Nothobranchius furzeri: one gene and its partner. The protein of the gene in region 2 purifies or fractionates together with the protein of the main gene of each other region. This does not show direct contact. Links are inferred from orthologs where the notes say so. Each region holds a gene or a part of one and is shown on either strand. Other genes may lie near its edges.

What was found.
Region 1: the proteins of ift122 (region 2) and ift140 purify together in Homo sapiens (affinity purification with mass spectrometry; 4 studies listed by BioGRID and IntAct, counting the BioPlex papers as one, with this or other methods). This does not show direct contact. The link is inferred for Nothobranchius furzeri from reciprocal best matches to the Homo sapiens genes IFT122 and IFT140.

The regions. Positions count from the first base shown.
Region 1 is NC_091756.1:32,324,605-32,327,937, forward strand, and holds the end of ift140 (intraflagellar transport protein 140 homolog), read right to left. Parts: intron 3,199-3,333; coding exon 2,986-3,198; intron 2,803-2,985; coding exon 2,636-2,802; intron 1,987-2,635; coding exon 1,845-1,986; intron 1,445-1,844; coding exon 1,268-1,444; 3' UTR 778-1,267; downstream 1-777. UniProt on the Homo sapiens protein: Component of the IFT complex A (IFT-A), a complex required for retrograde ciliary transport and entry into cilia of G protein-coupled receptors (GPCRs).
Region 2 is NC_091755.1:54,391,054-54,394,981, forward strand, and holds the start of ift122 (intraflagellar transport protein 122 homolog), read left to right. Parts: upstream 1-959; 5' UTR 960-1,063; coding exon 1,064-1,104; intron 1,105-2,045; coding exon 2,046-2,112; intron 2,113-2,186; coding exon 2,187-2,271; intron 2,272-2,359; coding exon 2,360-2,438; intron 2,439-3,927; coding exon 3,928-3,928. Other genes in the region: mbd4 (methyl-CpG-binding domain protein 4), read right to left, coding at 1-10. UniProt on the Homo sapiens protein: As a component of the IFT complex A (IFT-A), a complex required for retrograde ciliary transport and entry into cilia of G protein-coupled receptors (GPCRs), it is required in ciliogenesis and ciliary protein trafficking.

The DNA of each region.
Region 1 (3,333 bases), on a different chromosome or scaffold from region 2:
GGGCCCTAGCAAATCCTAGGTGTGCTTTTTGTGCATGGGCTTTTAGGAGAGGCTTCCTTCATGGACGATACCCATGCAAGCCATTCCTCTGCAGTGTGCGCCGTATGGTGTCACGGGAAATGGTCACTACAGTTTGGCTTTCTACTAGCCTAGTGAACTAGACCAAATTCTTGCTTTGCAAATTTTGGTCTAGGCACGCTCCATTGGAACCTCTGCAGCTCCTACCAGGACTCTGGCTGGCCAATCACAGCTATCTAGAGGGGTTTCAAACACATAAAGAGCTGTGATTGGTCCATAATGGTGGGCCAATCATGGTGCTCTATCTGCTTAGTGAACAAATCACAGAGCTTTATCTTCTTTGTGGGCCAATCAGGGCACTCTATATGCCTGGTGGGTGGGATGATGCAACAGAGTGAAACAAGAGGATGTCACATTCTTTGTCCAGTGGAATGTGGAGATCATTTGAAAGACAACGGTAGAACCCGCCCCACAACCGAGAGCCGTCAATGGAGCGTGGCCAGACTAAATAATACATTTATTTAGTCTGGCTTGCCAGGCTAGCTTTCTACTGCTTTAGCTAATTCAGTGAACTTGTGCTGCGATTTTTCTTCAACCCTTCTAATCAGACGACACGCCTGTCTTTCTGAAGCGTTGACGTGAGACATTTACACAAAAATAAATTTTAACTTATGCTTAGATCCCTTTTAACTATTTAAATGGCCTGGCTTATTGAAAGATATTATAGGCTGTGCTGTTATTCCCCCAAAACAACACAACTCATGTTTAAAAGTCTCTTTTATTATATGAACTTCACCATGTATCAGATAAATAGTGCCAGTTACAAATAGAGATGATTATCAAAAATAGCTGCAAAATGTAGGACAGATTTGGACATTTTGACACAGAATCTTTTTAAATCAATTCAGTTAGAAACATTTAGTATAAAATGCATGAAAACCACAAAAAGACTGATTTAACTTGAAGGCAAAATCTGTTTATCAAGTTGAACCTTTTGGTGCAAAAGCTGCTCAAAAACTACAAATAAACTCATATTAATGCAACTTTCATCCATCCTGTACATAAGCCGCTTTCTTAATTATTATTATTTTGAAAATGTATTTCAAAATCATCTTTCTATTCAAAACTGGTTTGCAAATGAGCATGAGTTTTTTTCTGCTCAGCAAGTAAATCAGATTAAATTTAAATAAAACTGCAGTTTCATTCAGTGTGAAAATGCCTTTTTATATGAAAATGGTAAAGAATGACGCTAAGACTCATGCAGCTCCTCCTCTACCTCGTCGTCCTCGTTCTGATTTTTCCCGAGGTCGACTTTCGCAGGTATTCCCATCTCTTTTTGCAGGGCATTGAAGCTTGACTGGCTGATGTAATATCTGACATTTTGTGAGGGAAGAAGTTTCTGCAGCTCCTCCAACTTCCGGTAGGCCTGCAGAGAAAAACACAAAAACAAAACAAACTTATATTTTATATATTTTTAGAATTGTTTCAAACAAAAGAAACATGTTTTTAATTTGTTAAAGTTTACCAGATTTTCATAAGGAAACAGAAAAGAAATTAATCCAAAAATCTTTGCTGGAATTAGTAATCTGAGATTTTTATTTAATCTATTCAAATCACCCATCAGGGGCAATTTGCAAAGGTTAGATGGTGAAGATACTCGAAATAATTTATCTTAGTGAAATAAGGGCCCTAAATTATTGTAGTTTTATGTTTCTGATGCTATCTTATTTTTTAAATTGCTGAATATGTTAATTCTGAGTTAAATAAACTCATGCAAAAAGCTTTTTCTACAAAATCAGCTGAGTAAATGGATAGAAAAGAGTCACCGTTTGGAAATTCCTCTGCTGACAGTGGTGCTCTATAAGGAAACCAAAAGCATCTCCGATCCTGACAGCAGGGTCCAGTTCTGGTTCCTCCAGCAGAGCTTCACATAACAGAACCGCCTCGTCGGCATCCTTGGAGTACAAACTAAACAAAACAAATAAATACAGTAAATAAATGAATAAACCGAGAAGCCCAGACTGACATACCACCACAAAAACCCGTTTTTTCAGGAGAAAAAAAGATTTCTCAGTGGGGGAAAAAAAACCAGAATAAATATAACTTCATGTAAGAATGTGAATATAAACTATTTGGATTTTCTGACGTTTATTATTAAAAAACAACAAAAAACAAAGCAGCAACAAAAAGAGAAGTGAACTCTTGTGTTTTGACAAACTGAAAGGATTTAGGAGCATTAGCTTTATGAATCAACGACTAACACATAAAAATAAACCAGATAAAACATTTTTAACACGACGAGAATCCTGTATAAAATAGATAAACCCAGAATTCAATGTTAACTGGACTGTCAGCAGCAAAGGGGAGGAATGTTCTCAGCTGATTTAGTCATTTATGAAAAACAAAAACAATCAAATAATCAGGAAGCCAGTCTGAAGATGGTCTTTTAAACGAGAAAATAACATCAGCCTTGAAGAGTAAACATTCTGTTAGTTTTAATTCTACGCTTCTATTCAACAGCTTTTCCTTCAGTCGTGCAAAACGTGATCTCTTTTCCCTGTGGCCAGCGCTTTCTTGTCTAAATACATCAGAGTTGACATTTTTATTTTTCACACACCTGCGGATGTGGACAAACTTCTTGATGAGGCTGATCTTGTTATGAAGGTCCGCTAGTCTTACTTCTTGTTGTCCTCCTGAAGAGTCTTTAGCTTTGGACAAACACTTGAAGGCCTCCGTTAAAGCATTCAGAGCCTTTTCATAGTTTTGGTAATCGTCAATCTCCACCTGCACCACAGCGACAAAAATGTTTGCTTCTTCTTTTAAGACATGAAAAGAACATTAATCTTATATTAAGACATTAAAAACAGAATCTTGGCCTTATTGAATATTCAGATATTAACTGTTGGGATGGAATAAGACAAACAATGGTGTGAAAAGTCTTTTCAAAAACAAACAGTGTTGCTCAACCTGAGCACAGGCTTCGTAGAAGCCAGCGAGCAGCTCCGGTGCTTTGCCTCTGGTGTAGAAACCAATGATGGTCTTTAAGATCTCTGGGCTTTCACGCCAGTCCAGAGACTGGAGGTAGTTGGCAGCCATGATGAACAGCTCCTTCTGACGACAAACGTTGGCAAAGAAAATGATTTTCTCTGTGTCTCCTGACTTGAGGAGTGCTCTCATTGCCTGAAATAGAACATTATTATTTAAAAAGTGCATAAAAAGAAAATCCAAACACATTTGGACTAAAACAAAGTTAAATCCATGTTCCATCATCCCTTTTTTAAATAGGCAGAGAAGAAAAAATGGGAAAGACAACAG
Region 2 (3,928 bases):
TAACATCCATTCTGCCGCTGAGCTCCTTTTCACAGTATGATGCACTTAATATATAGTTGAGTCAATGATGAAATTTGGGTTGTAGAAGAGCCGCGTTTCTTGTCATCTTTGCCTTTAATTTGCAGCAGTAACACATACAGCAGATAAAAAAAAAACTCACCGTGTTATTTAGAAAGTATCACCAGCCACCATTGATATTAGTTTATTTAGCCAAATAGGAGTCTGTAGTGTGCATACTGCTTGTTTCCCGATGTAAACATTTGAGCGGAACTAGTTTTGCAGGCATGCAGGAAGTGGATCCGCTCCTTTTCTAGCGGGTTAGCGGGTTGGAAGTCCTGACGGGCGAAGATGATATACGTGCATTAGAAATATATATATAACAGGAATAAATACGCTTTCTGTTCATTGTGGGGGATGCGAGGAGATGAAGCTACTTCTGTCTTGTACTTCTGGGTTCTGCGTGGGGTGGGTTTTACAAACTCCGCCTACGCGGAGCAACTCTACGGTAGCCGGCAATTTAATGGTGCTGACCTACAAATCACCAGACATGCTGCATTTGTGTCCCAACGAAAATCGGACCTAGCGGCAAAACCTTTGCTACTCTTTAATCGGGCCAACACTACGAGCGAAGAACAACACATTTTTCTGCATTGGATGTCTTCTAACACTGTATGAATATGTTCACCAACAGGGCTTGTATGTTACTGCGTGCGACTAATTATTAATACGATGGAAGCCGATAAAATATCAAATAAGTTTATTTATTTAACATTTAATGTTATATTTAGCCTGGATTATTGAGTATTGAGGTCGTTACTTTTCAGAAGTCCCACATTTTGAACTGTATTTCTAAATTTCAATGTTTTTTTATATTTTGTTTGGTTGGTATTTGGTTATTTTTTCTACATGAATCCAAGAAATCCCGACCTCTGAGAAGATCTGGAACAAACCACGAGTTTGCGCAGTGTGACCAAATCCTTCCATTGAAGAAAAAAAAAGACGAGCTGTAATAGCTACTTGTTGATTCAAAAATATTTTGAACGATGTGCAATTATAGGTGAAGATGAGGGCGAATCACTCATGGACAGCTTCAGTTCGTGAACGGTAAGTGGTGGCAAGAGTATTATTATGTTATCCTTCAGATAAAGCTAGCTCATTAGCTGGGTAGCAACCTAGCAACGGTGGTTGCTATGTAAACTAGAGGAAGCCTGCTAACACTTAGCCCTCCAGCCATTCTTTTTTTTTATTTAAAAAAATATGTATTTTATCTCGCTGTATATTAGTTATAAAACATATTTTTTCTAATAATGTAACGCGACCTCTCGGGTCGGGTGAAACGTTACTGTTAAGTAAGCTAGCTTATGATGTTTCGACTCACTTGACCGCAGTTCTTCGATGCTACAACTAGTATATGAAACATTTTTACCGGATTATGCTGCCAGTGTTTATTTACAGAAAGCTTTGTGTTTGTGGAATATTAAAAAATCGTAAGATTATTGTTTTAATTGTTTTTGTTGTGTGGTCCTCCTAGCCACCAGCTTCGACTCTAACAGCGTCTAACTTGTTCTTTTATTATTTTTGATCAGTCTGATTCTGCTTGTGAATCTGCAAAAACTTTTTTGACCAAGGGGATTCAGTTCTATTGTTAAAAGACATGCAATCAATTTCAGCTGCTTTTCACTTTTCCGGGACACAATAATCCAAAAGCTGCATGCCTTTGCATCTGCCAACACCTTTTGTGCCTTTCTCAAATATAAGAAGTTATTTTGATTAATCAACAATGCTTTTACTCCACAGCCACGTTCTCAATTATAGCTACTTATGATCAAGCTGCTCTTTCTGACTGTTGTGATCTGTGTCATTTTTGTACACGTAAGCTTTATTTTGGACATGCACAGAGAAATATCGCTCTAAAGGACTTTAGAGGTCTGGACTAAAAAGTAACCTTTATCACAAAACTTTTGGGATTGATTTAGCCTCCATGCTATTGCTGATGGACTTATCAATGCATTTAAAAATGTTTTAACACAAATTTCTTTTCACAGTGTTTATGACCTTGCCTTCAAGCCAGATGGCAGTCAGATTATAATAGCTACAGGGCATCGTGTGCTGGTGAGGATGCTCTTTTATCTTTGCAGCAAAGGAGAGAATGGATCATTATTGTGAATGATCTTTTCTCTTTGCAGGTCTGTGATGCAGCAGATGGAGCCATTATCCAACCTTTAAAAGGACACAAAGACACAGTGTACTGTGTGGCTTATGCCAAGGATGGTACTTGAGTGTTTTTTGGCTTATTTGATCAAGTTTCTAGTATCACTTGTATTTTTTCCCTGTCACTAACGATAGTATTCTTCCCCAGGTAAAAGGTTTGCCTCGGGATCAGCTGACAAAAGCATCATCATCTGGACATCTAAACTTGAGGGTATTTTAAAATATACGTAAGTGTCATTCCTGTAATACAAAATAATCCCCATGATTTTTTTTAAATAATAGTGTGTTGGTATTATTTACTTTTCTAAGATCTCTATACCCACAAAATAAATGGTTTGAATACAGTAATATATTGAGAAGTTTTCTGAAAATAATTAAAAAATCTGTGATTTATGTATTAAATTGTGCTGTAACAGAAACAGTTTTCAGTGTCATCACTGACTAAACCCATGACTGATTTGAGAAAATACAAACAAATCGCAAATTCCACGCCAGCAACACACCTCAAACTACAGGTTGAAGGGAGACGAAGAGAGTGTTTTACAGAAGTTTTCTGGAAGAAGCTAGCATCCCATCTAACAACCAATTTATCATTACCAACAACCATCACTCAATGCTTTAGGTCAAACTCTATCAGAGGGTCATTGAGTTTTTTAGAAATAGCTCTCAATATGATTTTTCAAGAGCTGAGGGGTTTTTCTTTTAGCAATAACAGTGAATAATCTGGTGGAGAAATCTGAATGTAGAGGCCAAGGTTGGAAACTGCTGTCAGATGGACCAGTGAGCCCTAGGGAGTAAAACCGTTATCAGTATTTCCTCTGGAGGGTCACTTGGAAAAAGCATTGTTACTCAGATCATGATGCCCTTTACAGCCAGAAACACAATTAGTTATTTTATTCAGCAAGAAGAAGAAATATAATCATTCTGTTCAAAATCAGCACCCAATCCTCTGACGGCGTTCACATGTTCGACATCTGCTGATGAGGTTATTTTTCGGCTTGCTTGTTATAAGAAAAGGGACTGGGTTCTATGTGCCGAACAAGTAAAATAACCATTTAGTCTGTCATCAGGAAAAGGTGCAAAGCCCAAAGACTGTGATCATATGAGTGTGCTGTGTATTTCTGTAAAGGTGATACTGATGCAAAAGTAGAATTTCGTGCAGAAGACGTGCACCAGCAGCATCAGGGCAAAGTCTTACTGGGACTTCTGGTGTTATTTCACACCAACTCTCATTCTGCATGACTTACACCAGTGTGGCTTCTGAGGGGCGTGTGCCGGACTGTTCCGTTCTCTGCCTCCTATTAAAAATGTATGGCACATCCCGGAGAGGTGAATCAGATGTGATGACCACGGACTGTTGAGCAGCTGAGATCTTCTACTCTGCTAGACACGACACACATTTATCCTGCAAAACTGCAACAGTTGCAATGATCAACTATACCCAGCATTCACGTAATTAAAAGTAGAAGATTTTTTTAAATCAGTGTCCTGCCAGCAAATTAAAGTCTACATTAGTTCATTTTCTTCTAAATATGTTTAAATTTTAAACGTGTTTAGTTATTCTAAAAATGTAGAATATTTTCTTAGTATTTTGTGAAAACAAAAGCAAACAACTTGCTAAATTACATATTTTTGCTGCATTTCAGACATCTTCCCAGCATTTCTGTAAAATATTACTGTTTAACACTATTTTCCTATTTTTGTCCTAATTTGCAGT